4 linked regions of the Struthio camelus genome follow. The protein of the gene in region 2 interacts with the protein of the main gene of each other region in a pairwise test. Links are inferred from orthologs where the notes say so. Each region holds a gene or a part of one and is shown on either strand. Other genes may lie near its edges.

Region 1 (6,981 bases), on a different chromosome or scaffold from region 2:
GCTTTCCTATTCTAGGACCAGACAGAGAGTCATGGTATGACAGAATCTGAGAATGCATGATATTTATATAATAAATTAAGAGTTTAGAGCCCTGGAACTCTGATAAGCTTATCAGTGAATGCTGTATATAAAAAGCTCATCGCACCTAAACTGACAGCTTGTCGGTATTTACATAAATCCATCCACAAATGGTTTCATTAATTCCCTACTATTCTGTTCACAATTATCTTCCTTGGTTTTATCAGCTGCTTTCAGCTCGACTCTCCTACCTACTTATTTACAAGCTTGAGAGGAACCTTCTCTGTAGCTACTGAACTCAGCCACTTCAAATTTTCCCAGTCCTAACTAAACAGCATCCTCTCCTATTCCTTTCATTTCTCTCCCTGTATTATGACTCATTCAGGTTCTATATTTGCATTTAATTCCACAACTGTTTGGGGAAACAGTTTATGTGAAAGACAGCATGCAAACTAAGATGCATTGCAAATCAATGTTATGCTGAAAAGGCTTGGAGAAAGCATTATCTCAAACCACTAAAGCTTTTAGCGTTTAATTCTACATCTAGGAACAGAATAGAAAAATGCCAGAATTCTCCTAAAACATGGTTTAAAAGGGTCTATATTCAGTATTGACGTCTGCCAATAGTCAAACATACTCCACAACCAATTTCAGAAGAAACAAGATTCAAGCTGATACTATTAACGTGGTTCAGTTCTAAGTCCCAGGTCACGACATCATCCTTCCATGTCCTCTTAAGAAAATGGCATCACAACAACAGGAGTTAACCACATCCCCTGGGGCTGACATCTCTCTCAGAAGAGAGACGTGTTCAGTACCAAATTTTGCTACCCTTCATGCATAGGGTTACAGGCACTATTCTTCCCAGGTTACTCTTGTGAACGCTGCCAAAACACTACATCTGGCGCAGTCTGTAAACGCAGCTTTTCTGATCCCATTTCTAGCCTAGCCCTCCTAAAAAAAACACTCAGAGACAAAGATCTCTCTCTCCCTAAGAGCAGAGTTACCCTCAGAGAGGAGCACTGCACTGGAAGAAGAATCCCCTCACTATACAGCGGGGCAACCTAACATTGTCAGCCAAACACCACCAGGGAATAAGACAGAAATCAATCAGCTAACAGGAGTAATGAGACGTGTGCAAGAGAGAAACAGTGGCAAAAAGTTACCTGCTGGAAGCGTTATGTCTGCTCTTGATGCAAGAGTTTAAAACAAATCTTTAATCCTCACTTACCTGGCTGGCAAATTCCCTCAAGTGAGCCATGCCTACAGGATGGTCAGACATCCGCGTCTGCGAAATCAGGGAGGTTGGGTTGCTGTAGCACAGCGGGAAGGCAGTGCTTTCTCATCCACTGGTCAGCTGTGACAAGCAAGAACACAGCAACTCTAACTCAAGGTTCCCAGAGCCTGGCTCATTCCCCCAAAAAACTACCTTCAACTTTTTCTGCTCAGTCTGCAGTTTGCCTCGGACCCCATCAACCCGTTCAAAGTGTGCCAGCCCCTCCTTGCATCAGCAAACCCCACCTCGCAATTTTTCTCCAGACGTGCCTTCCAGACAGATCAGGAACCTCATTTTAACGATAGGCACCGACACAGCTTCAAGCACCCTCTTCCCTGCCATTACCTCACCACGCTCCCCGGTATATTTGCCGCTACGGCACTCTGCCGTCACCACAGCTCCCAGGATATATCCCCAGGACGCTCCACCGGATTATCCTCACATACCCCTTCCATCCTAGGGCTCCCCTGTAATCCTCTCAACGCGTGCTTCACTTAGGGTACCGTTTTCCCCAGTGCATCCATTTGCCAAGCTAAGCTCCCCAGCACACCTCCTCCCCCTCGTCAGGGTACCCCAACCCCACGCCACCCCAAAGCACCCCCAGACCCAACAAGCTCGGTGCTCCTCAGCAACCCGTCCCATAGGGCGCCCCGCTGTGCCAGCAACCAAACCACCCCAACGCTGCACGGCCCCGCACGACGCCCTGGCCCACCCCAACACAGCCCCAGCACAGTCCCTTCAGGGCACAGACTCCCAGGGCATGCCACCCCACCCCGGGCACCCCTCCCAGCCCTCCCCAGTGCTCCCAGTAAGGCACCTCCAGCCCTCCCCAGCCCCCTCAGGACACCCCACCCCAGGGCTCCCACCGGGGCTCCCCCGGCCCCCCCAGGACACCCACCGGGGCTCCCCCAGCCCCCCCAGGACACCCCACCCCAGGGCTCCCACCATGGCTCCCCCAGCCCCCTCAGGACACCCCACCCCAGGGCTCCCACGGTGGCGCCCCCGGCCCCCCCCCCAGCCCCCTCAGGACACCCCACCCCAGGGCTCCCACGGTGGCGCCCCCGGCCCCCCCCCCAGCCCCCTCAGGACACCCCACCCCAGGGCTCCCACCGGGGCTCACCCGGCCCCCCCCAGCCCCCTCAGGACACCCCACCCCAGGGCTCCCACCGGGGCTCCCCCGGCCCCCCCCAGCCCCCTCAGGACACCCCACCCCAGGGCTCCCACCGGGGCTCCCCCGGGCCCCCCCCAGCCCCCTCAGGACACCCCACCCCAGGGCTCCCACCATGGCACCCCTGGCCCTCCCCAGTGCTCCCACCATGGCTCTCCCAGCCCCTCCCCCAGCCCCCTCAGGACACCCCACCCCAGGGCTCCCACCGGGGCGCCCCCGGCCCCCCCCCCAGCCCCCTCAGGACACCCCACCCCAGGGCTCCCACCGGGGCTCCCCCAGCCCCCCCCAGCCCCCTCAGGACACCCCACCCCAGGGCTCCCACCATGGCTCCCCCAGCCCTCCCCAGTGCTCCCACCGGGGCTCCCCCAGCCCTCCCCAGCCCCCTCAGGACGCCCCCCGGCACGGCCCCGCGACGCGGCCTCCCCCCAGCGGCCCCGCTCGGCCCCCCGCAGCCCCCAGGCCCCGCCGCACCTACCCGGGCGGGCAGCCCGCCGCCGCCGCCGCCGCCGCCCCTACGGCCAACGGCCCCCGCGCGACGCGCGCCCCCGCCGCCGCGGCGCCATGCCGGGCCTCGCGCGCGCCCCCGCCGCCGCGGGGCCGCCCTGGGACACCGAGCTCGGCAGCGGGAACACCGGGCGAAGGGAGGGGAGGGCCGGGCGCAAGAGCACGGCGGGGAGGGGGGGCGGGGAAGGGGGGGTGAGGTGGCCGCGCCGCGCTGCCTCCTGGGAGACGTAGTTCCCTCGCCGCCGCCCGCCCCTGGCGACGCGGCACCCGCGGACTACACGGCCCGGCAGGCATCGGGCGGGGGCGCGGCGGGAGGAGGAGGAGGGGAGGGCGTGGGCGCGAGGGCTTCTGGGAGAGAGAGTCCTGCGGCGCGGCGGGCGCGGGCAGGCCGGGCGGGGCCAGGACTACCGATCCCAGTGGCCCCCGCGGCGAGGCGGTCGGGGGTGGGCGGCGCCGCTGGGGCCGCGGCCTGTGTGGAGGCCCGAGGGGCTCGGGAGGCGGCTGCCTCCCCTCCCCGCGGCTCCTCGGCTTCTGCTGCGGGGAGACAGGCCCTGCCTGGGCTGGAAAGAGCAAATTTGGGTGGCTAAAAAAAAAGCTGGGTGAGCGGAGGTGGGGCGAAGCGAGCGTTTTGGTCAGCAGCGCTTTCCTCATTGTGGTGGTGGTTTTTTTTTCTTTCTCTCCAGTGGCTGGTTAAGCTTTTGAATGAGGAAACCCGCCCTGGTGTGCTGAGGGTTCGGCCTTCTCATCCTCCCAGCGGCCATGCTAAGAGCTCGTCCCGACAAACCCCAGCAGAGCACCGTTTAAATTCACCCTCTTTCGGGGAAACCGGAGGGTTTGGGAATATTTCCTAAGGAAGCGAAGCAGCCCGGTCAGGCCGCTTTCCGCCTTTCTGTTGCCAGTCACCTTAAAAACTGGCCTTGGAAGTTTTCCTCTCAGTTAACAAAACGGGCACAAATTTCTGCCTCCGACGTGGCTGCCCACGCACAGAGCTTTTTCCATGATGATAACCTCGCCTCACACCCATATCCCTGTCCCAGCGCAGCACCTTGACTTAAAAAGTCTAGGGAGACGCAGAGGAATCGAAGCTTTATTTGATCTGAAATACCTGACGCGCGAAAGAAAATCAGCAGTTAGGGAAAGGAAGGAAAAATGCGGTTATGCTCCAGTTCTCCTGCAGAAAGGACGAAGGGGTGAAAACGTTGCCTTTCTGCTCATGTTTTTGCACACACACACACGTGTCACCCACGTGGTAGGGAAAGTTATGAGTCCCCATGTGTGTGTGACTCAGGTGGTGTTTCACCCTGATGGCCTGGGTTCTTATATCATGCAGACTCAGGAGTTTATCCATGTACTTGCATTCTTGGCAAGGTGGCAAATGCCGCACAGAAATGTTTATTAGGTTGAATAAGTACAGCAAGTCTGAACAGAGCCAAAAAGCTGTCTCACTAACATCACCCCTAGACCTTAGGCTGGCCCAGTGTTGAATAGTTCAGGAGCGTGATAATAGCGACCCTGAACTGCTGGGAGGAATGGCAATCAACTAGATTTGTAGGCTTGGTTTAGGGTAAGTCTTTAATAAGGATGATCAGTACTTGAGTTCCCATCTTAAAAGAAACTGCAAAAGCTGGCCAGCAGTTTTTGAGCAGGAAGACAAGCACGCTCAGGTGTAGGCTGGTGCGACCTGAATTCCCATTTGGGACCGGTGGGGTGTCTGCCTCTTAGCAACAGGATACTTGGATGAGCAGGAAAGTTGGAATGAAAACTGTGGTCCAGCTGCCATCTGGAAAAAGCCATTTACAGGTCAATAGCTAATCGGTCTGCTTTTGGCAAACCACATAGGCCTAGAGATCGCTGCTTCGTTGTGAGGCAGTTATTCCTCTAACTTTCTCTTACGAGGAGAGGGTTATTAATGTACTCAAAACCACGCAGTGCCAAAGTGTTGTCCCTGGGGATGCAGGCGGCCTTAACTTCTCTATGGCCACCAATGGCATGTTTGTGTCCATCACCTCCTCCATTTGACCTTCAGCGACATATCAACTGGAGCAGAAGCAAAATAAAAATGTCCTCTTCCATTAATTCCCTACTTTTTGGTCGATGCTGTATTCTTGGAAACCAGCTCGTATATTTTTTAACGTTTGCAAGGGCGATTACAGAACAATCATGCTGCAAGTTTTATGTATAATTGTTGCTTTAGCACCCAAAAAGTTTGGTGCTTATTGTGCTAGGGGCTGTACCTACCCAGAAAAAACACACAGTCCTTGCCTCCAAGAGGTTTAAGTTTAAAATAAGCCAGCCAGACAAATGAGAGAGAGCAAATATTTCTACTGAAGGAAGGCAGTGGGGAGTTAATTATGTGTTGGAGGCACCAGGCCTACGGAAGGTGTATCGCTTTCCATTTAGGGTTAAAGCTTTCACCTGGCCTTAAGGAAGCAGGGCTATCTGAAAGGGACTCTGGGATTAAGACTGTGTTTTTTTTTCCCCCTAGCCCTGTCAGTGTGAAAACGAACAGGCAGTTCCTTCTGACTCCGTGGAAGGTTACCTTGTTCCTGATGAGGTTAGTCATGAAAGTAAGTATGGCTGATGGAAAGAGCGGCTCTAGGAGCTGAGCCAGCCTTGCTGCCGTCCCTTTGTTTTGTGCAAGTCCTTTGACGCCTAGAAAAAGGTGGCCTGGTTAGCCTTTAACTTAGTGGTGCCATTAATAAGTTCTTCCCTGTCTGCTTTCACAAAATTGTAGGAACTTGGTATTTTGGCTGTTGCGACGCCTCTTCCCAAGCTGGTTACAACTGGCCAAAACCTGTGAGAGGGAAAGGGTCAACTATGTAAACACGCACGCATGCATGTTTGCCATCTGTGTGTTATATGGCTGTATATGCTTCGTTGTATGGAAAATAAGGCTAAAAACGAATGACTTTTGTATATATTGTTGGGTTTTCTCCTCACTACAGAGAGCAAATAACTTCTAAAAAGTACTGTTTTCTTGAAGGGATAAGCTGATTTGTTAGTTCTTTTTTTTTCTGGCACTCTTAAAAGCAGAAGGTTAGAGATTGGGAATAAAAAAAAACTAGATTAAGAGCTGGAGGGTCATCTCTTCCAGACACCTGTTCTTATTTCGTAATGAAACCTGAAGATTTTAGCTCTAGATCAGCCTCTGCCTGAAGAAGGGTTTCAAAGCATAATGTTTTGCCCAAATTGGAGCCATGAGGTTGACACCTGAACACGATTCTTGGTTATAATGCTCATTCATTTTTTATATATATATATATATATATTCAGTTTTTCTTCATCTGAGGTTATTGCTACTACTTAAGGGTAGGTAGAGGAAATTAACTGGCCTGCATAAAGTGCTAATTAAATTGCTTAACGTTCTCCCTGTAAAAAGATTTACTTCTGAAAACTATGTTGCACGTTGTTGACAGTGTGGCAGAAATACTGCTTGAGGTGACGGGTAATTCTCTCACTAACAGAGAAACCTTGAATGAGGCATTTCAAACTTTTGTCCAATAAACTGTTCCACTCCATTATGTTTATGTGAAATTCAGAGATAGGTGTAAATAGTTGCTATAAGAAGCTTTTTGACTGATAGGCTCTTAAACATTCCCTTGAAGTAACACATCTTTTACTTTTCCATAGGAAATATCAAACAGGATCACAAGGGATCCTGCAGCCAGCTCTCCTGATGGTCAGTGCCTTTCACCAGGTGCTTTCGAGAACAAGAAACTCTTCAGTGAGATGTCTCGAAGTTGCTTCCCTGCTTAAAGGTAAACATGCTGTAGTTGCATTAACATATCTCTGCCTGTTGCATTGCTACTTGGGTCAGGTGGAGAGGGTATTATACTCATTAGAAAAATGAGTATAATAAGACATCTTAAAGAGGGTCAGCCTGGTGCTGAATCAATTGTCAAAAGCAAAGAATGCTAGTGAGGAAACAGCGTCTGGTATCTCTGCAGCCTTGCCTTGGGTTGGAATTACTCAGTGGCCAAACCAAACTGTGCAGAAAGGACCTCAGGAACTAATG
Region 2 (7,289 bases):
AGGGGATTCTACCCTCCTAGGACTTTAGATGGCTCAGTTAAGGAGTTTATCTGGCTAAGTCCAAGGTCAGTTCTTTTACTATTAAGAGCTCTTATGAAGAAAGTTAGTGAGGCCCAGTCCCTCCTTCCCCTAGAAGATACTTTCAAGCTGAGGTTCTCTGGCTGGGCCCTGTCTGTGCTACATCATAGCTGTGTGGTGGCTATGTCTGCACCCAGTCTCATATCCCCTCGATTCCGACCCCGATCCTGACTTGACTTCCTGACTTGACCTTGGACCCAATTCACCACTGACCCAACTGGGCAATCATTGGTCTGTGTCTAACCTTGTTTACTGTTTCAGGATCTGATCCTGACCATGACTTGCCAGCTTGACTCTCCAGCTTGACCTCAAACGTACCTTGTCGCTATAGACTTGTTTGAGGATCTGAACTCTCAACTGAACGCGGCCACCTTCACCACGCCTGCTCTGCTCAATCAGATACTGTGAGACTGGGCCCTTGCTGGTGAGGGCATTGCCTCTGCCTGCCTTATAACCATGGTCGGCTCCTGGCTCCCCCCTTCCCTTTGGGAGCAGCCTGCACTTGCTGCCCCCTTGCAAGTATACTTGTAATGTTTTCTCTCTTCTTTCCGGAAAAGCACTACCTCTCCAATGGAGTATTGAGAATTGTTTCTGTGAGCTGGATCATTCCTTCCACTACCTCAGTAGTAGCATCTCGTACCATCTTCCGAAGAGTAGTACCTGGTTGAGATTGAGAAAAGAGCAACGATGTTGCAACAAAAAGACAGCAACGACAGAAAGCAACTGCCAAAGATGAACACACAGGCAGCTCCATTCATGCAGACACATGGTATAAATAAAGTTACAGGTATTTTGAAGGAAGCGATGTTTGTTCCTGAGTTTCAAAAGGACTTTGGGCAAAATCTCAACGTTTTATAAATACGAACACTCAATCAACTATACCTCTTCCTACATTATCACTCTTCCACAGCTGGAGATCCGCAGAAGTAGACAGTGGAGTGGTTCACTCACAACCATGTTGCAAGTCTATGGAATAGCTGACAATGGGACTCTCTTTGCTCATGAAAACTTGATTTCCTGTAGATGCCAGGTCTCCTACCGGGCTCTGAGATACTGGGCTTCATCATACAGTGATGAAAGAACTGGCACTGCCCTGCTGTTACCATCTCACCTTGGCCTTTAGGGAGCGAGTAGTACACTGTGGCAACTGCAAGAATCGCATTTTGGACGTCTTCACTCAGCTTCCGACAATCCTAAAAACGGATAGGCAAAAAGATTAACCAGGAAAAGTGCATTGCTGCGTTCCACTTAGAAAGTCTCACAAGCAACCATTTAAATCCAGATTACTTTGAAAAAAGACTGTAGGGAAGCACAGCAATGGCCAGCTGGCTCAAGAAACAAATACAGCACAATGGTAAGTTACGGCATTTAAGCGTTTCTGAAGTCTACAAGCACAGAACAGAGTAATTTGCTAGAGTTGCAGACTCATTGTATGCATCATGAATTTCCTCACAGTTTAGTAACAGAAAACACCCGCTAGTCTGGTGGTTACGCATCAGTGAGGAAGAAGCGGCTTAGATCACTGTTCTGAACTGGTGGTCTTTTTTCCCCTCTTTCAAGCACAGGTGTGTTAAAACTTCTCTCAATTAACAGCAAAAACACTTCCATTCTTAGTTAGACCTAAGATCCACATTGCCCAATATACTGTCTCCACCAGCAAGCAGTTGTACGTGCCAAATAATGTTAAAGAAAGGAATATAAGAATACTTCTATTTGGTATACCCCTCCCAAATTCCAGAAATTAGCTCTTTAGACAATTTTTGAACTGGATTAATACATTCTGCAACCTATAGTCCACGCAAATGTGCCCTGTTTACATTAAATCCAACGACTCTATTTTAGTCTAGCCAGTCAGGAGATATCTGAAACTTATCATATGCACTGCAATTTCACACTCTGTGGGGGCTTTCACACACCTCTGCAGAAGGCAGTGGAGGCCTTGAGAATGCAAGACTCAGCTTCGTAGCTTCCTGTGATGTTGCTTTGAATGTCTGACCTAAGAATGATCCAATGGGAAAAAGACATTTATCAGGATCTTAAGTAAAAGATGAAAAAACAGAGCAGCTAGATGAGCAACGTCCTCTCTGATGCTGCTTTGCCCTAACATCTACTCTCTGATTACTGTCTCTCACTTCTAAATATGACAAGAATGTAAGCTACAGCAGAGGAAAAAAAATCCACATTGCAGCTGTGTCACACTAAACTGTCCATTCTACTTTTTTACTTAGCTGGTTCTGAAATCCATTATCACATTTTGTCACCTAGCCCATGCTACCTTTACCAGGACACGCCAGGAAGCTTTAACAGAGACCAAAGCCTTTAAAAAGCTCGGTCATGACGATCACTCCATACTGCCCACTGCTTTGTCAATGACACCAGGAAATCGAGGACGAGGGCAGGAGCCTTGACTGGAGACTTTCCTGGTGACCTCTCTTGCAACTCATAGCCGTGCCATGTAACAGCACCACGATGTCCCAGCTCTGCCACTGACACCACCCACAAAAACTGCTAAACGTGTCTGCCCAGTGCCTGCCCCTGCCCAGCCCAGCTCTGTCCCCCATGGTGGCCTGGCCCTGCTCCAGCCCCGGCCCCGCTCTGCTCCGCGCAGCAGCCCGACCCAGCGCCGCCCTAGCCCGGCCCGCTCCGTACCGAGCGCGTCCCAGAAGCGCGGCGGCTCGAACGGCTCGCGGCCCTCGCCCGGTTCGCCCTCTGCAAAGGCAGAAAGAGACCTCAGCCAGGCCAGAGGCGGCGCGGCCCCGGCCCCGGCCCCGGCCCCGGCCCCCACCTCGGACCCGCGCCAGCACCGCGCGCAGCGCGCCCCGCAGGTCCCGCAGCGGCTCCCGCGCCTGCCGGGGCCCCGGGCCCGCCGGCTCCATGGCGGCGGAGCGGCCAGCGACGCTCCCTCACGGCCGTCACATCCGCTTCCGGGTAGCGACGCGGGAAGGGCGGTGCCGGCGGGGGCCGCGCCCCGCGCTCGGCCCGTGGCCCGCGCTGACAGACGAGACACAAGGGAGCACGGATACACTTTATTAACGACAAGGGCAGCAGCGAGCCCGCGCGGAGGCCTCTACAGCAGCCTGCGGAGCTCCTCGAAGTTGAGCAGGTTGTTAGCTGTGTCGGACCAGGCAGCGTGCGTGGCCCCATCCATCTCGGGGGCCAGGCTGTTGGTGCTGTCCAGAGTGTGGTTTGTGCCACCAATATCCGCACGGCATTCGGGGCACTTGCTCCTCTCCATCGCACCCCCGCACTCCCCAATGACATAGATGTGCCCATTTTTGCACTTGAACCAGTGACCGCGGGGACAGCCAATAGCACTGACAATCTGCACCCGCTCTGCTTCAGAGATCCCCAGCCCTGACACAGGCAGGGCACTGCAGAGCTTCTCTAATCTAGCCTTCACTGCAGCCTCATCCTTCTCTGTGAATTTCTTTGTCCCTTCCAGGATCTCACGTACACTGGCAATCTCTTCTGCAAGGGCTGGGGTGATCCTCCCACTTGCACCTTTGCACCTTGCCAAGAGGCTCATCAAGTAGGTCAGTCTCTGGATCTCAGCCTGCAGGTCAGAGAGCTCCTGCCCTGTAAAACTGAGGCGTGGCTTATCCAGCCAGTCCTGGACTTCATCCAGACGCTTCCTCAGCCCTTTCCTCTCACTTGCATCAATTTTGCTCATCGAATTGGTCAGATCAGCTAGACGGTCATAGAAGTTAAGCTGGTTCTCAATTAGTCCGATACTCTTTGTGGACAGAACAGAGGCTCTCAGTTTATCTTCCAGCATAAGGTACTTAAGGGGTAGATTCCTCTGCAGAACAGCATTCTCTGCTAGTGCAGCCTGCAGTCTTTGTCTGCTAGATTCAATTTCCTGTACTGGGCCTTGGATTTTCTCTTTCACTCTCTCTATCTCATCCAGACGCCTTTGCACAATGGTGCCATATCTCAAATTCTTTCTGATAGGTGTCTGACAGACAGGGCACACCTTCAGCTTGATAACATCATCATCTTCATCCATATAGTGGTCAAGGCCTTGGGACTCAAAAACATGGCCACAGTCTTCAAGCTGTACAAACCGAGCATCTGGATCCTCCTCAAAGCCAAAAAAGATCTGCGTGACTTCTTCATGGTCACAGACAAGGCACTTCTGTGGGCAGGGCTCTCCACACAATCCAATACAAGGGTGTCCACAGTGCAGTAGTTTAGTACACGGTACATTGCAACGAGGCCTATTGCATGGCTCAGAGCAAAGATTGGTACACTGATAGTGCTGACATCGCCACTCACATGGCTCTGCACATGGAAAACAGCGCTCTCCACATTTCTTTTTACATCTGCTGTGAATGCAGTGGTTCTGACAGTCCAGCTGACATGGAGGGCATTCGGTAGTACAAGGCTGCTGACACTTGTGGGAGCAGACTAAGAAGCGCTTGCATGGGCTGTTACACGGCTTATGAAATCTTCCTTCAAAGCAGGAATGACAGGAACCCGAGCATACATGACCACACTCCAGCGTGACAGAACACTTAGTTTTACATTCCACAGGCATCCCCTGTTTCATCTCCTCAGTGATCCAGCACTTCACTTGCTGGATGTGGCCACATTTCAGTGCAACTGTAACCAGCTCAGGACACCTTGTAGTGCATTCCTGCCCACAGAATTTGTTGCACCTGTGCCCACAGTTCAACTTTTTCTGACAAGGTTCTTGGCAAAAAAACTCAGTGTCTGGAGTAGAGCACGGCACCATCTGTCGGTGGCCACACTTGGAAATAATTTTCTCAACTTTCACCATGCAGTGTCCACAGGGCTCATAACACAACTGCGGACAGCGATGCCCGTTTGTACAAAGCACCTTTTGACAAGGCTTCAGGCACTGATACTCTTTGTGCTGTGTGTCATACGGGTGACATGCCCTTGTGCAAACATGTCCACAACTCAACCTAAATTCACAGGGACGACTACAACCTCCTTCTGGGACTTTGCTGAAGTCTGCTGCAGTAGATACCAGTGTCTTGGTTTCAGGGTGGTTTTGGCAGCAAAGCATCAAGGAGCGGCCAATGTGGCCTTTCTCCCGGAGGGTGTGAATGATCTTGCTCCAGAGAGGAACCTTGCCAAGCATTCTCATATTTCCAATACAATACAACCCTTTCTTAGCTCTGGATAATGCTACACATATCCGATTAGAGATCTGCAAGAACCCTGATCTCTCCTCTTTGTTGCTCCGCACAAGCGACAGCAGGATAATATCATTCTCTTGCCCCTGGTATTTATCCACTACATGAACCTTCACACCTGCAAAGGTCTTGGCCGGCATGAGCTTACGCAGACAGAAAAGCTGCCCAGTATAGGTAGTAAGAATGGTGATCTGAGAAGGTAGATAATCCTGACACAAGAAATACTTGCACAATTCCACTACAAACTGGGCCTCATGTGGGTTCTGGTGGCTTTTCCCTTCCTGGATCTCTTGCTCAGGAAAGTCATGCTCCACAAAGAAGAGGTTAGATGAGACCCCCTGAAACAAAAGAAAAGAATCTCAGAAGTAGAATTCTACCTTCTGTCTCTACAGCCTCTTCCCATATCTCTGATTATCCCTTACTAAGATTCTTTAAGTATGCAGTAACCACATCCTGTAGTCCTCTCCTAAAATAATTGCCTCTTAGATTTCCATAGTATATTCATCAGAGGAGACTTTGAGCTGATTAGTGACATTTCCAGTAGTCACTCAATAGTCATCAACTGCAGGGGTTTAGTGAGTTATCTGCTCACCTGTCCAAAACTTCCATTTGCCTTGGGTTAATGGGGACCTTCATTTTTTTGCCTATTAACTGGAATTCTTCCACCCACAAAGAATTCTTGGGCTGTTATACCAAAACACAGAGACTGCTTTTTTCAGGAAAGAACACTTTTCGTGGATCACACACACATCTCTGGTTTTCCAAGGTGACCATAGCTGCAGTAACTGCTGTATACTTTAATCTAGTTGTCACCTCTGTTGGTTACTGTACTAGATAAGAATCTAAAATGATAAAATTATCATATCTCAGTTTTTTGTTTTTTTTTTTTTAAAAAAAGGTCAGATGGGATCATAACATTCTCCAGAATAGCTTACCTTATAGGAGACCACAAAATTTTATCCTGTTTCTCCTGACCTAAGTAGCTATTTTTAAATAAGGCATCTTCTACAAAATACTTCATCTGGATTTGAAGATACAAAGAAGGGACATGCAACTTTATCCTAGAGACAGCTTATTCTAGTAAGTAATCATCCTCACTATTCATTTTCTCCTGCCTGGCTTCAGCATTTTACAGTGGTTTTTGGTACACCTATCTCATTCACTTAAAGAGCTTTCATTAACGAGTACTGTCTTTTCACAAAGAGATCTAAGTAGACTAAGTTACTGTAATCCTCTCTGTAACCACCTCTAATTCTTTCTCCCAGGGTATTCAGTTGCTTGGGTTCCAAGGATTCAAGACCTAGCTCGGACACAGCATTGCTGTCACCTTGACTCAGAATTCTGAGGAAATTGTTAAGTTGTGACAGAGGGCTGTGCAAAAGTCTGCAGAACAGGGCTATGCAAGATAGGGCAGGTAAAAGTTACATAGGTACGATTGTTACTAGTTCAAAGATAAAAAGATAAGCACTAACACAGAAAGGTATAAAATCATAACTGGTGTGGGGCAGGGAAATAAAAAAAAAAAATCAGAAAGGAGGGAGTTAGTGGAAAATGGAAGCTCAGTAATATTGAGGAAGCAGCAGAGGCTGACCTTTCCTCTTCTGATTGAGGCCTGCCTGACTTGCAAAGACATTTCAGGCATCTTATGGTGAGGCAAGCATACCAATGCTCAGCTTAATAAATCATTAAATTCTAGCTGTTTGGTTGCACACGTTAGCTAACAACGATTAGTTTATACTTTTAAACTGCATAGATCCTGCTTGCAGATTTTGTGTACACGTAAAGGTGCCAAAATAAAGAACCCAAGTAATCAAGTCACCTATCTTATGAGGGAGCTTCACAAATTATGCTCTAAGTCTCTCGTTTAAGATTTCTTCCTAGCTTTCAATCACATACAACTCTTTTGGTCCATCTTCCTTTTTGTCTGTTCTTTTACAGTCTTCAATACTGGATCCATTTACAATGCCTACAGTTGCTAATGCCAGACAAAGTTACATGTTATTTGCCTAATTCTGTATACCTTGTTTCCTTGATTTACATATCAGTTTC
Region 3 (7,732 bases), about 1.8 Mb from region 2:
GTCCCAGAGAGGAGGTAGCCTAGATCACAGGCCGTTTTTGCTTAGGCCCTCCCCACTCTCTACCTTTAGCGTAGCCAGAATCATCAACACTGTCTTCATCAGATTCAACAGAGGAGGCGCCATCTTCACTTCGTAATGGAGGAATGATACCATCTCCTTCTACAACGGCTTCCTTTAGCAGCAGGGAATCAAACTTCACAGTGTAGTAGCCACTGTCGATATCTACAGAAGGAAAAGCAATGGACAGGAGTTCAAGTGTGCAATACGCAACGGGTAAGAGGGCTTTCTACAGAACAGTTACCTTCAGTGGGAGAGGAGGAAGGCCCAGGGAACATGTGTTTAAAAAAAAAAACCTCTGAATTCTTTTTTGCTTGAGATTTCGGTCTAGAAGGGAGAATTATATGCTGCAATGAAGAGCTATTTCCAGTTTCTGTGTTGATACTTAGAGGTCTATTTCTAAAAGTGATGAAAGATGGGCTGCTGAGAAATTGAATTAAAGAGAAGGCAGATTTGTTCCTTCAGACCTAGCAACAGTCAAAGAAAGCAGGAAAGCGGGAATAAACCCCTACCCTGTCCAGGACACAGAGGAGCCTGTATCAGCAACTGACAGGCAAGGCCAGCTCCCCTGGCTTTTCTTTAAACAAGAACAGATTATTGCAATTCCAGTATTCATGCAAGTTCCTGCAATACCTGTCTCTCCCCTACCAGTTCAGCTAATGACTACGAAGTTTTTTTTAACCTCACATTCCTGCTCCTGGGTTGCCTTCTTGTCTAATGTTCTCCTGTTTTCTAGCCTCTTCCCATCCCAAGCCCTACAAAACTCAGAATATTTTCCTCAGCTATTTCAAAACGTTCAGTTTAGGCATGTAAAAACCTGGTCAGCTTTTTTCTATCATCAACCAAAACAATCAACTTTTTTATTTCACTGAAGTGTCCGTGTTCATCCTCCATGCAGCAGCCTGGCAAAACACACTAAAACAAGACTCACCAGTTATTTTTGCAGTATACCATATTCCATCACTGTGTTTTGCCAGGCAGGCCGAGCCCACCTCCAGAGTGCTCAGATCGGGCTCCTGAAACGGCTGAAGCTCTTCCACAGACACCACTTGCCCGTGAGAAAACCTGCCAGGAACGGTGAAAGAAGAACTATATCCACACCACTTGAAAAGGGTTTAAATAAAAATTCCTTCCCTCACGAAAGAAAATGTGACAAGTTATCAGCACTACTGAATCTTCGCTGATAATTATCAAAGTCTTATCACACGCTATTTCGACTACACAAGACAGTCTTCAGTTTTCATCTTAAAGATATTATTTGTGCCATCTGACAACGCATTCTATCCCAGAGCATTAAGCTTTTTTTGCTAGTGATGTACCCAGTAAAAAATTTCACAGATCCTTCGATAAAGAGGATCACACAGAAACGTAGGTCTCTAGTCCACACTGGAAGTGCTTGAAGCAGGACTGGCCTCATTGACAGATCAGGTTGCTCAGGGCCTTATCTAGTTAAGTTTTGAAAATCTCCTAAGATGGAGACACCACAATTTCTCTCTGTAACCTGTATGTATGTGCTATCTACAGACTAACTTTTCTTTTTTTAACATCTTAATCAATTATTAGTTTAGCTACGCAATGGAGTAGGTAAAACATCTGCATTTTGTCATGGGAATTTCCATTTCACCTCTGCGTTACCTGAAGAAAGCAGTCAAACTGTTTGATGCCAATTTACCACGTCATATTTTAAAAACAGAAAAAATTACATATATTTGGCAAAATTCCATCTAGTACAAAAGCCAAACACAGCACTTTTAGAGCAGTCTCTTCCCTTGCATGCCAAGGCCTTTAGCAACAAGAAGGCCACAAACTCCCTCCCATCCCTTTTTTACCGACAGTTCTCTTTAAATCTGCACTTGTCATCCAAGAAGAATGGACACGGCTTCAAAGACTTGTGAGTTGGATAGAGATACAGAACTCTGACTCCTGCACTGCCATCTTCTAAGTATTCTGTGCCCACAATCATGGCATTATGGTACTCCAGGGTCCCCCAAGCACTGTAGTACGGGGCTTTAACCTTCATCCCACTCAATTCCTCCTCCTCTTCCTCTCTGTCAGACTCATCCTCCTCTTCACTGTACTTAGATTCACTTTTCTCATCAGTTTCTTCATCTCTCTTTGATGATATCTCATGATCAGCAGCTGAAGGTTTGTCCTCAGTTCCAAGCTCACCAATGGCTTCCTTAAAAGCAGCATATTCCTCATCTTGGGCAGAGCTGTCTAGGTTGGCCTCCTGCTCTAGGGGACCTGCAGGAGAGGAGGAGGATGCGTTTGTATCTAAGGTTGCAAGAAGTTTGCTTTTTTTAATAGACACCAGGCTAGATTCAGTCAGCTCTATCAGCTGCTTTAAGTCTTCCTGCAACTGAACCAAGTCCGTTTGCTGGGACGGGTCGAGGCCGGCCCCTAAGGCCAGCTCTACTTGCTGCAGCTGGGCGCTGTAGGTGTGAATGGCTGCCTCCAGACTCTCCTCGTCCATTATCAGCACAACGAAGGCGTCTCTAACCGTGTCCTTTCTGGGAACGCAGAACACATTCAAGCAGGTCACGTAAAGCGATCAGCAGGTCTTCGTCCGCAGCCGCCACCGCCTAGCCCGCCGTCCTGCTGCTTCCCCCTGAGGAGGCCCGACGAGGCGCCTGCAGCGAGGGACATTGAACGGCGCGTTACCGCCGGCCGCCGCCCTGCGGCAAGGGCGCCTGGCCCGGGTCAGCCCGGCCCGGGCGCTCAGCGCTGGCCCAGAGCCACGGCCATCAGCGCCGCCACCGCCGCCCGCCGCCCGCCGCCGGCCCCGGCCGGCCGCCCGCCCGCCCGCCTCACTCACCCCCCAGCTCTCCCCTTCCTCCCGGGGCACCGCCATGACACCCCGCCGACTTCCGGTCCTCCACGCCACCCCACTTCCGGCCCCTCTAGCCGACGCGTTACGCCGTTTCGGCTAGGAGACTTCCCCTACCGCGCCGGCGCAGGCTGTGGCCGTGAGGGCGCTAGGCATTCTGGGAGTCGCAGTCCTCCTGAGGGGTGTCGCGCCGCTCTGACCGCGGGGCGAGAACTACATTTCCCAGGGTGCCGCGCGGAAGGGGGGGGGGGGGGAAGCCGGCGGCCGGTGCCGAAGGGGAGCGCTGAGGCGCGGGGGGCCGGGAGGTGTCTCCGGTGTCCGGTGAGGGGCCGCGGGTCTCGGGCTCCGTGCTCAGCGCTCGGGGTGGGGGGGAGGAGCGGGGACCCTGCCGTGTCTGATGGCAGCTCTGCGAGGCGCTGCTAGGCCCGGCTGCGACGGGGCTCGGGCCGGGCCCCGGTGGAGGGAGGCCTGTCCTGGCCCGAGGCCGCGCCGGGCCCGTGGCGGCCGTAAGGGCCGCGGGGGCCGAGGCCGGGGCCGGTTCCGGCTCCTCTTGCGCAGCCGGAGGGGAAGGGTCCGTGCTCGCCGGCCGCGTCGGGCCTCCCGGCCTGGCCCTGGCTGCGGTCCAGCCTGGGAAACCTGCCGTGCTGAGGCTGGAAGTCTTTTTTTTTTTTTTTCTTTTTTTCTACCCCTCAGGCAACGTTATTGCATTTCAAAACGATTATTTATCTGCACGCTCGCTGCACGGCAGCGGCTTCTCAGAGTTGTTGCCTTGAGGTTCCCCCGGTCTGTTTAAACTGAAGGGTGGTTGTAATGCTAAGGGAGCCGGCTGTGGTGCTTGGTACCGAGACTTCCTGCATCTTAGCAAATCTTCTCTGCCTTGTTTGTGCAAATCCAACAAAAGAGTACGTGCATGGCCAGGGGCTGTCACTTAGTCTTATTTTCGGTCTTGTGCTTTTGGCTAGTCACCGGTCTTCTCTTCATGGTATTGCAAGATGATAAAATACTTGAATTGTGAATCGTGGAACAGAAGGCTGTTGCTGGAGAAGGCATACGTTAATATAGCTAGTCTTTTTTACAAGCCTTTAAAAGTAAGATACTCTGTCAGTTTGACCATTAAAGAGCCAATGATACAGTCGTATAGAGCGTGTTCTTGCTCCAAATACCCATTCTGTGTATTTGTATGCAATTGATTTCATTCTGTGGACCATGTATGTACTCTGAAAGACTTTCAAGAACATTCAGATCCCCTTTAAGCCTTGGAACAGACAGGAGCATTTTCAAATGAGTAGTGGGTTTGCACTGGATGATATGCACTATCAAAATTTGGCCATGTGCATAAACAGGGATAAGCTCTACATAAGATGACCCCCTACTTATATGCATTTGAAAACTTGATTTTTTTTTTTTTTCTCCCGTGGACTTGGATCTATGATTTGTCCTGGAGTTATCTAAATATGAGAGTTACTGATAAAAGAATAATGCCACTTACTTCTCTGATGTTGGAAAAACTTGCATTGTGGAATGAAAGACTTCTGGGAGTGACCCATTTATTAATAATTTCTTGGCATTTGTTGCAGGAGCAGGATGTATACTCTGTTATCTGGACTCTATAAATACATGTTCCAGAGGGATGAGTACTGCGTCTTGATCCTTGGTTTGGACAATGCTGGTAAAACAGTAAGTGCTGTTAATTACCAATTACGTGGAGGGCACGTGCAATTGTAAACATTCCTATTCTCCAAAGGCAAAACTTCCAAGAGGCAGGTCAGTCTAACTCGTGACAGGATATTTTAGGGATATTGCCCCCAAGAGTCAACTCCTCTCCCTGTATTTAAACTTAGCTATATCCCTGAAAGCTTACGCTGAGACTTTGATAATCCCGTAATCACCTGGGATCTCTTCTTTCTTTGCTGAAATAGGGAACAAGAGGAGTGGTTTGTTCCAAGGTTAGAGAGGGCAGTAGCTACTGGGACAAGATTCTGCCGTAAGGAAAAGGCAGGTTTTTGTTAAGATTACTGGATACATGCCAGTACAATGTTTGAGAGTAGTTACTCTTTCTTATTCCTTTTCAGACCTTCCTTGAACAAACTAAAACTCGATTTAACAAAAACTACAAAGGGATGAGTTTGTCCAAAATCACAACCACTGTAGGCTTAAACAGTAAGTAAATCCACCTGGAAAATTTTCCACCTTTCCTGTAAAGTTAGAGAACAGTTATTTCTTCCTTGAAATGTTTAAGAAGAATTGACAAGGGCAAAGTGGTTCCTGGAAATAGGGATCTTATCTCCTCGCTCCCTATATACTTCTTCTGAGAGAATAAATTGGCTTGCTTAGCTGTTGAAGAAAAAACCCTGAAGTTTTAAGAGTTGTGTGTCACCTTTCAGTGCTGTGCTTAGAAGTTAAACTAAGTTTCTTTGGAGTTCACGGGCTGATTCTCATCCTGTTTATGCTGATGTGACTCTTCCCAATCTTATGGCCACTATTTTCTAAGGTATTGTTCTCTTGTTATAAGTAGTACTATATGTGATTTGCTCCTGTAGAAGACTGTTCCATCCCTACTTAGGGGCATTGTGTAGGCGTGATCCTTTAGAGCACGCAGTCAGTTTTCATTGGATTGAATTTTTCTTTCCCTCTAGTTGGTACTATTGATGTTGGCAAAACTCGACTGATGTTCTGGGATCTTGGAGGGCAGGAGGAGCTACAGTCTCTTTGGGACAAGGTTGGGGAAGTAATTTTTCTTTTATAAATGTTCTGATACCTCTTTCACAATTGGAGAAATATGATCATTTAGTACTCATACAGGCTTACTGGTAACCCAGGTATTTAGCATTAATACTTTTCCAGAGATTCAATTTTATCCGTGCAAGATTTGCAAAGATGATGCTTAACATCTGCATTATTGTTTACAGAAACTAATTGTCAGCCTCTGTGGGAGGACTGTGCCAGTTTTATCGTTTGTATGTAATAAGGTCATATCAGTGGTAACTTCCTTACCCAAAGTTACAGAGGGACTTTAAAAGAGATCTTGGCTAGCTCAAATAAAAGCTACAGTCTAGTTCTAACTAAAATGAAATATGATTTCAAGTTCTCTGGGCTGTTTTGTACAGCAAATCAGGGCAAGGGAAGGAGAACATTGATGAAAGCAGGAAGGTAAGAGCTGAGATGTGTTTCTGGGCTCAGCACTTCCAAGGCTTTTACAGTACCGCACAGAAGCAAAGTATATACCAATATCAACACTTGTCTCCCTCTGTATTATCTGTTCTTGTCGAGCAGAGGGTACAGTCTGCCCAGCTGCATGGTGTTTTGTAGGTACGTTAACTGCAGCGTTATTAGAAACCCTGAGCACAGTATGCAGCATCCAGATGTCCGGCAAAGAATATTAAAGCAATATGCTCGCAGGCCAACCAAGCATGCTACCTGTGCCCTTGACTTCATTGTTTGATCAAGACATGCATTCCTGCTATCCTGTTATCAATCACTTCAACTGCACAGTTGAGTAGTATGTCTTATCAGGCTTAAAAAACATCAAATTCTGCCTGCAATCACTTGGGTTAGAAAAGGAGTACGCAGATAAACTTCTTCACCTATTTTATTCAACAGACCTGCAAATAGGACAGGCAATGCATTTTGCATGCCACCATTCTTCTCTCCAGACAAATATTATGGAAACAGCTAGCTCCAACTGGTTCTCTCTTCCATACGGATAAAAAAAAGGGTATGAGGAGGAGATAGTCTTAGCCGTTAAGTACACTAATATCTGTTACCATTCCAGTATTATGCCGAGTCTCATGGAGTGATCTATGTTATTGACTCCACTGATGAGGAGAGGCTCTCGGAATCTAAAAGAGCGTTTGGTGAGTATGCTGTGTTATCAGTACTGTGGTTTCCTGATGTATTGTGTCACAGTTCTTTCATTACAATCGTGTCTCTTCCTGTGTACTTGAAGTATAAGCTGTGTTCTGTTGATGGCATGTCTGTAGCGCTTTTGAACCTTTGCATGATACGTGGCTGCGTTTCTGAGGTGAAAGCAGTGAAATCAGTGAGCTATTTAAGAGTATGGTCTGTCTTGTCCGTAAGATAATCGTCAGTTTCATTGCCTATAAAGACCTTGAGGCTCTTTTTCTGCTTATGTTAATTCTTTCAGAACTTTCATTTCTTATTCTGTATTTAGTTAATTCTTAGTAAAGTGCTTGTTGATCAAAATAAAAGTTTGAACTTGATCTGAAAAAAGATACTGTGATGAATGCAGTCCTGAAAGTTTGGATCAAATCAAACTAGCACAAGGAAGTGCCTCTTGCTTCCTCCCTATGTTCAGATAATTTGTGTCAAGCATTTGCACAACTTGGTCTTCTAGAATTAGCTAAACCTCTCTCGTTTTTTATTTTTGTGCTTTATAGAGAAGATGGTCACTAGCGAAGCTCTGGAAGGGGTTCCTATTCTGGTGTTAGCTAACAAGCAGGATGTAGAGGTAAGATAATTGCAGAAGATGTAGTTATTCAACGAGCAAATACGCCTTTGAAAGGTGGGCTGTGTCTATTCATGTCAAATTTATTTCCAGTCCCTGGACTGGTGCCTAACAAAGTTTTTCTTCTCCTAGAAATAATTGCTGTGAATTTAGTTTTCCATTTTTCCTTTTCCTCCAGCCCTCTTCCAGTGACACAAGTGAGCTGACTATAGACATGTACATCTTGGCTGTTTTGAGCCATGTACGTAAACAGAACGAACTATTTAGCTCTGGTGGGTTTTCTTTGCTGTGACTTGGTATTTTAATCCTGTTTTTCATGTTTATTCAGCAAAACAATGTTTAGTGAGCTTCTGTTTATGATGCTGTTCCTGGAATTGTACCTG
Region 4 (6,997 bases), on a different chromosome or scaffold from region 2:
AAGTACTTTACTTTATTCAATGATAAAATTTTAATTCTATTAAGAAGTACTACAACTAAGGCCCCTAAAATGTATTATTATACTGGCTTGGCTTTCCTGTGGCTTTCTGTGTGTCTGTTGGAGAAAGATAGGTTAGCCTTGGTGAGAGAAAGAGATAATGAGGGAAAGTCACCACTCCCTAGCCTTCCTCAGAGACTCAGCTCTCATAGTACCGAGGGCTTTCAGTGGAGCTGTCAGGACCTGTCAGTCCCTGCTATAGTTTATTATCGCAAGAAGACCCAGAGACAGCAGCTTTCACGCAAAAAACCTCAGGCACCCGCTTAGTGAGCCTGGCATGCTGACACGGACAGAGCAAACATACATTTCTGAACTGATTGGCATTAATGGAAATAGACATGGGAAAAGTTGTAAAACCTAAAGTGGACGTGCTTTATTCTGAATATAGAAAGAAGGAAAGACAGAGCTAGTCCAGGCTTAGATGTATATGACTTGCAAACTTTGCATTTCACAGGTTCCTATTGCTTGAGAGGCTCATTTGTTTTCAGAATAATAACTTTGAGAGCAGTAAATACGTTCTCAGATCATGGCAGCTCTGCCAATATAATCACTTTAAAGACAATTTGTTGTAAGGAATAAGATTTATTTCCTTCCAACTTGTTTCCTAAGCTTGTTTTCCCTTTTCTCCCTCTTTATTTCTCTTGTAAGCCAAAGAGAAAGTCAAAGTTGATAGATAATTTAGACTGAAACAAACTGAAGGCTTCATCCTTCTACCATTTGGCAGTTTACAAGGAGGGAGAGCATAGGTACTTACCACCACCATTTTCCCATCAACCAGTCTTCTCCTTATCGTGGTCTCTTTGCCGTTCCATTTTTGCACTTGCAGCAATGACCCTTTCTCGAGGGTTACAACACTCTGCAAAGGCCAAGAGACGAGTTTCAAAATGTGATCCAAGCTTCGTAGATTAGAGTAACAATTCACTTTTTGGATAGCAAGATCCACATTTTCTACTAAAGACACACTTAGTAACATTGATGTCAGCACCATACTGTTTCCTCTTTCGGTACTTTCTTGAATAGCTTGGAAATTTCATAGCGGAAAAACTCCTCCTGGCTCAATTCTAGGACGTCAGGATCCCTTAGAGATCGTTTAGAGATTGTTAGCCACCTTACCTTGACTTTCCGGTCATCTGCTGTCATTTCATCAAACTGCTGGCCCAGTTTGAAGGAGATCTCTGTGTTTTTGAAGGTGCTTTCAGTTCTGATAGTTACTATGTCCCCTTTCATACTGATGATCACATCAGGCTTTGCTAAGCCACCTAGTTTCCTGGCAGCTAAGCCCACTCCTATAAATTAGAAAAAAAAAATAGCATTACATCCTAGGAAGCAAGAAACTCATTATAATTTCATAAAACTTCTGTGAAAAAATAATGAAAAGTTTCTTCTTGAATACTATAATGTCTGATTCAGATGAGACACTGCTTCCTCATATGTGGAAGCTGCATACAGTATTGCTTTCAGAGGTTCAGGCATCCCCAGCTGATGTATCTCCAGCAAGAAATAAAGATATACACGTGTATACAGCTGTGTACATTTAGCTAAGCAGAAACTTAGACGGTTACTAACCTGTATTGTTTCTGTGCAGTGATAGAATGGGTAGAAAAATGCATTGAGAAGGACTATAACTCATATATCTTGCAAAAATCCTTTTATTTTTGCTATTCTTGACAAATTTGGGAATCTGAGCTTTTGCTGACCAGCTGCAAGGAAGAAACTAGTGACTGAACTCCCAGTATGCTGGTGCTTATTCTTCAAAGCACAAAATATACTGGTGCCCAAGCAATTCCTAGGTTACTACTACCACTGCTTAAAGATCCTAATGTCTGAATCTCAGTGAAAAGTTCAGGCAATAAATAAAAAGAAATTGAAATATAAGAGTGCAGAGGTGCAGAAAACTTCAGTAAAAATCCTATGTCAAGAGTCTTTTATATTACCTTGTGCTATTCTTCTCAATTCATGGTCAACAAGTTACGAGGTCTGAGGAAAATTAGAATAAAGGCCACTGATGATGTAGCCCCATTTTATAAAAGCAGAACAGGGATAGCTATAGTTAATGCCTTTGTTAATTCTGTGGTATGCTCAGATGAAAAGATGGACACAAAAGGATATAAAGTTATCTGTAAAGTATAACACTAGCTGCAGTAATTACTCAATACTGAAACAATTCTGTTCAGATCTTCAGAAAAATGTCTGTAGCTAGATTTTCATCCCACATTTACTCTGCTTAATTAATTAACTGAAGTTCTTTTGTTACTCAGTTTAACCTTTCAAATAAAGAGAATTAATGTTTCAGTGAATCATTTATATAGCAAAAGAAATGCTGGAACTGACTGTCTTTGCACTTGCTATATAGAGATGAAGTCAGCATTAAACTAAAAAACAATGCTCAATTTATTACATTCCTGGCATTCTTCAGTAACAGATAGATTCATTCATAGAGTTTAGACCTCTGAAACCCAAGTGTCATGAGACATCAGCTCCATTATATATTGTAAATTATCACAAGTCATGAGTTTAATAGTGCAATCAAGAGAAACCAAAGAAGTCCTGCATCTCCGTAGATCCTACTCATTACAGGAAAATAGATCATTCAGATCAGTTAGACAGAAGTAAATTTATTGTAATAATCTAGTAACTTTTCCATTTTAGATGCTAACAGTAATACATGAGATCATACTAGAAGGTAATTAAAGTGCTTATGGCCAAGAAGAAGACATTACCTGTGAGCAAAGCATAAGATGAAGAAAAGACATTGCTAAAGAAAACTTATTAAAAAAAAGAGAATAACATTTCTCACCCAATTCTTTCATATAATCATCAAAATTTTCACTGGAGACGAGCTTCCAGGTTCCCACAAATCGGTTACACATTGTATTGGCTTTACAAGGCAGCGGTCCTCCAGAGAAACGCAGTGGCAACAGCAGCTCTTGGAGGGAGGCAGAGGGACTGTGCCACTGACTCAGATCTCAGTCGCCTCCTTTTAAAGATGCCCCATTCTTATAACGGGCAGGAGGGGCCAATAGGAGAGGCAATGCTAGGGCCAGACAATGTGTACCTTGTCCAAGGCCAGTTGTGTTAGTACCAGGGCTCGGGGTGACGCCTGCCAGGGCTTCCTCCACTGAATAAATCAAGGCAGTGAGGAGTGTATGGGGATGGGGACGTGAGGCAGAGCAGGCGAGTGACATGGTGGTGGGGTCTGAGCCACATGCCACCAGGCACGCTACCACTGTACCCCTGTGAAGCCCAGCTCTGGCTTTCCTCCCAGTACTGTAACCCCTGCTATCATCATTATCGCTGCTGTCACCTGTATGCTAGTCAGTTAAATCAAAGCTGCAGGGATGTGGGGAAGAGATGGTGAGAAGCTCCTATGCATAAAGCTTTTTTTTTTTTTTCTTTCATGGCCCATCCTGGAAAGGGGGTGTGTATTCTGCCCTTTAAAGACAAAATTAAATTATTCTGTCTTGTTGTCTGCTTTTGCATCAGAGTAATGATGTCAAACTGTGGGTTCTGCCCTGCATGTACCCCAGCAGCACCATGAAGAGAAGAGACAGCCAGACTTTGCTGCCTTCCTTCTTCCACAATCAGAAATATATTCAGAAGATCAGTGCGTAGGTTCTGATCAGGTTTTGTGCTTGGCAGGTGGAGTCATCAAAGTGCTTAGTTCAAAGTCACTTAGTGAGAGGTGAGCGGGTTTATTGGATTGGGAGGAGGGAATATACTCCTCTCTCTCTGCCTTTCTGCACCAGGGTAAGTGGTCTGTCAAAGAGTTAGGGGCAGATCTAAGGAAGTGCAGGCATATAAGGCCTTGCATTCAAATGTATCCTATTTTTCCCAGATTTGTTCTGGTACCCTGCTGTCATGAAGGGCCATGGTCTCTTCTGTGCCATGTGAAATAGAGAGGGCCACTCATGACAGGCCTTCCTCTACCTCCATATGAGAAGATGCAAGAACCTGCTGCAAAAATCTCTTCTTCCAGTGGCATTGTGAATTAGAATGTGTAAGTATGCCTCCGTTTCTACATATATAACCTAAACCTCCAAAAACAATGCACTTTTAGAATTATTGTATTGTGGTTAGTAAGAAATGGAAGCAAAGAACGAATCCATAGACCATATGTATATTTGAAGGGCAGGAATGCAAAGCATTGTAATTCAAGACACCTCAAAGTATCTGAAACTACTTAGTGTAAGACAACAACAACTAATTCTGTCCTTCCCTTTCCTAAACCACCTTCCTAGTAGGAGAAAGCTATTATTTGCTACATGAAAGGAATAGATGGCTTATTTCCTACTTGTATGAACAACAGCTGCATGTTCTTTTTTGCATCATTAAACTTTCTAGGTTGTGACCATGTACAGGAACTTCTCAGATCTCCATTGTAAGGGTGGCGGTTAGCTAGGAGGATAAGTCGTGGGACAGAATCTCTCATGTTTAGGATGGAAAGAGTCAGAGGGAGCTGATGCTGGGCCTAGGAGACTGAGGTTTGGGTCCTCTCTCCAGAGCTGCCATATGTGGCGGGGGGGAACATGCTTAAACAGAAAAATGGTGCAATCTGAGCAGGGGAAAGGTTATAATCTCTGGATTGTACTGTGGTGGTAGGGATATGTCTTACATTACAAATTTTGTTTGTACATATAAAACATTTTTTCCCGTTAGTTGGTCAGAACACCAACAAGGTAAGTTCAGTAGAATTTCACATTTCCTCTCTGGTCTAACTACAGTGCAGTGTAAGAAGAGAAGGTCCAGAATAAGTGATAAAGAAAACTAATAAAAGGGCAACTCCTTCTCCCCACAGTAGGAAGCAGAGGCTCTGTCTGTCAAATGTAGTAAATGTCAATCTGTGAAGGTGTGGTCCACTACCTACTTTAGAAACGACTTTTCCAAAGTACAGATGCATCATATTTCATGTGAAAGAATAGCCAGCTCTTGTATCTAGTCTCTGGAAATGAGGGGGATCCTCCTAAATTAACCTTGCCATTATTTCTCAAGGAATAACATGATAGTATTCTACCATTGCCAGGCATTCTTTGTTCTTCCATTTAATTGTCTTATCCACAGAAAGACACTTTAACAAGGCAAGACTGGTGTCTGTGGAAAATAAAGTGGAACATTGTAAAATCAGGTCCAAAGAAACTGAAGAAGATCAAATTAGTCAGAATAGAACAGCTATACTGCAGTACCAGTAACCTTAAGAACAAAAGTGACAGAGAATTATTGATGCAGACAAAAACCCAGTCTTAAGCAGTCTCAAACAATGTTGACATTGCTACCATTTATCTCTTTGTCATTAAGAAAAATCAGCAGTTCCGTTTAAAGGGTCTACAGTCTAGAAGGAACAAGAACATGGAATTCTATCTTCAGTAGAAACAGTATATGTGGAAACCAATCTTTTCTTCAAGTGTAAAGAAACAAAAAAGATTGTGAGTATATGTAAATGATAAGAAGTAGCCTCGATTCACTTTTTCTGGTTAGAAGAAAAGAGGATGTAAAATTAATGTAGCTGGAGACTGTGAAGTAGCACTAGAGACAGGGATAAAAGCTGATAAAAATAGAGATAAAAACATGCAGGGAATATTTAAAGATATATAAAAGGTAAATTTACTGTCAATTTCTTGAAAGGAAAGAGAATATAGACAAATATCATCCAAAAAAATCTACATTAAATTCCTCGGACAGTAATAAAGAAAACAGAAATGCAAGTAGAGAACAGAGGCTGAACCCCTTTTCACTTAGGGCACCGTGGAAGTTCCCGCACTGTTGCTCTTGCCACCGAAGGCTCAGCTCTGAACACGGGGCCAGGAGTCTATCTCCTCCCGGTAGTTATACTAGAGAGTGCAACTAGCCTTTTGTCACTTTGGATTGTGAATCCCTTGAGACAAGGACAAGATTGCTCAGGCCAATGGAAACGTAGCAGTTCGGGGCCGACCATGGAGCTGGGCTTGACAATCCAGATGGCAGCACACAGGCTTGGTCACTGAAGTGATCACACAGAGTCTCATGGTTACACATATAGCTCAGGGATTTGTAAACTCCAGATGGATAGGCTGTCCTGCAATACTGGGCGAATTCCCAAAGTGCTAGCTGAATCTCACCAGATGAATCCAGGTCCACTGCCAGTGAGCTCCAGCTGCCTAGCTTCCTCCTCTGGAGGCAGCACACGCTATCTTACCTACCTGCTACATAGCACCACTATACCATAAAATCAAACACAAGAGAAGATGTACCTGACAAGCTAAACCAAGAGCACACTTAAAAAATACTCCGAGTTCCTTTCAGTGGAAACCAAGAGTTAAAGGAAACACAGAAAATGACAGAAAGTTTGAAGTGCAGAATAAACCTTGCTTTATCCTTCTCTTGAGCTGTTACAAATCTGGGGGTGTGAATCCCCCTTCCCCCTTGTCATTGAAGAAACATGTAAGGGATTAGTGAGTGAATGCAGTAACTAGATAAAAATCTCGTAGCACTGAGAGGTGTCTGCTGCAATAGGCGTGTAGCCCATAGGGTTTGCAGCAGTCTGGTGAGAACCTCCGTTTTTCAAAGAGGAGCGCTGGAGAATGCTGTTTCTGATTTTTAGAGTAGTTCAGCACATCGCAACAGAAGGAGAGATCTTTTCTGCTCTGCAGGTGAGGACAACTCCCTGACCTATGCATGTAGAAATGCATATTGTGATCTCCATCCAGGTCTGAGTGTATAAACCCCTGACTGTTCTTTGCCAGAGAAGATTTATCTCTATTTATTCAAAAAATCACTAGGCTGATACCTTTCTTACAGAAAGTTTTAGACACGTCCATATTCTGAGAAAGTATCACTCATACTTCCTTACGGTGCTGGCCCAATCAAAGTTTATAAACAGAATGTCACTTTATTGACGTCTGTTAACAACTGAAGCTTTAAATGGCTTTTCTTTCATTAAAAAAAATTGATCCTTGATTCATTCACA

The links.
Region 1: the proteins of CCNDBP1 (region 2) and STK25 interact in binary tests that used the Homo sapiens proteins (3 or more experiments, as listed by UniProt). The two-hybrid records come from large-scale screens. The link is inferred for Struthio camelus from reciprocal best matches to the Homo sapiens genes CCNDBP1 and STK25.
Region 3: the proteins of CCNDBP1 (region 2) and ZGPAT interact in binary tests that used the Homo sapiens proteins (3 or more experiments, as listed by UniProt). The two-hybrid records come from large-scale screens. The link is inferred for Struthio camelus from reciprocal best matches to the Homo sapiens genes CCNDBP1 and ZGPAT.
Region 4: the proteins of CCNDBP1 (region 2) and myelin P2 protein interact in binary tests that used the Homo sapiens proteins (3 or more experiments, as listed by UniProt). The two-hybrid records come from large-scale screens. The link is inferred for Struthio camelus from reciprocal best matches to the Homo sapiens genes CCNDBP1 and PMP2.

Annotation. Positions count from the first base shown.
Region 1 is NC_090950.1:3,608,278-3,615,258, reverse strand, and holds the start of STK25 (serine/threonine-protein kinase 25), read right to left. Parts: upstream 3,021-6,981; 5' UTR 2,938-3,020; exon of another isoform or gene 2,934-2,937; intron 1,376-2,933; 5' UTR 1,301-1,375; coding exon 1,250-1,300; intron 1-1,249. UniProt on the Homo sapiens protein: Oxidant stress-activated serine/threonine kinase that may play a role in the response to environmental stress.
Region 2 is NC_090959.1:19,674,940-19,682,228, reverse strand, and holds the start of CCNDBP1 (cyclin-D1-binding protein 1), read right to left. Parts: upstream 3,007-7,289; 5' UTR 2,955-3,006; coding exon 2,864-2,954; intron 2,788-2,863; coding exon 2,728-2,787; intron 2,075-2,727; coding exon 1,995-2,074; intron 1,272-1,994; coding exon 1,190-1,271; intron 739-1,189; coding exon 642-738; intron 1-641. Other genes in the region: ZNFX1 (NFX1-type zinc finger-containing protein 1), read right to left, coding at 3,146-5,578. UniProt on the Homo sapiens protein: May negatively regulate cell cycle progression. May act at least in part via inhibition of the cyclin-D1/CDK4 complex, thereby preventing phosphorylation of RB1 and blocking E2F-dependent transcription.
Region 3 is NC_090959.1:17,914,783-17,922,514, forward strand, and holds the start of ZGPAT (zinc finger CCCH-type with G patch domain-containing protein), read right to left. Parts: upstream 3,008-7,732; 5' UTR 2,873-3,007; intron 2,688-2,872; 5' UTR 2,531-2,687; coding exon 1,887-2,530; intron 1,123-1,886; coding exon 989-1,122; intron 223-988; coding exon 64-222; intron 1-63. Other genes in the region: ARFRP1 (ADP-ribosylation factor-related protein 1), read left to right, coding at 4,469-4,561, 4,957-5,044, 5,521-5,603, 6,657-6,738, 7,282-7,352. UniProt on the Homo sapiens protein: Transcription repressor that specifically binds the 5'-GGAG[GA]A[GA]A-3' consensus sequence. Represses transcription by recruiting the chromatin multiprotein complex NuRD to target promoters.
Region 4 is NC_090943.1:125,897,726-125,904,722, reverse strand, and holds the start of myelin P2 protein, read right to left. Parts: upstream 3,007-6,997; 5' UTR 2,928-3,006; coding exon 2,855-2,927; intron 1,344-2,854; coding exon 1,171-1,343; intron 914-1,170; coding exon 812-913; intron 1-811.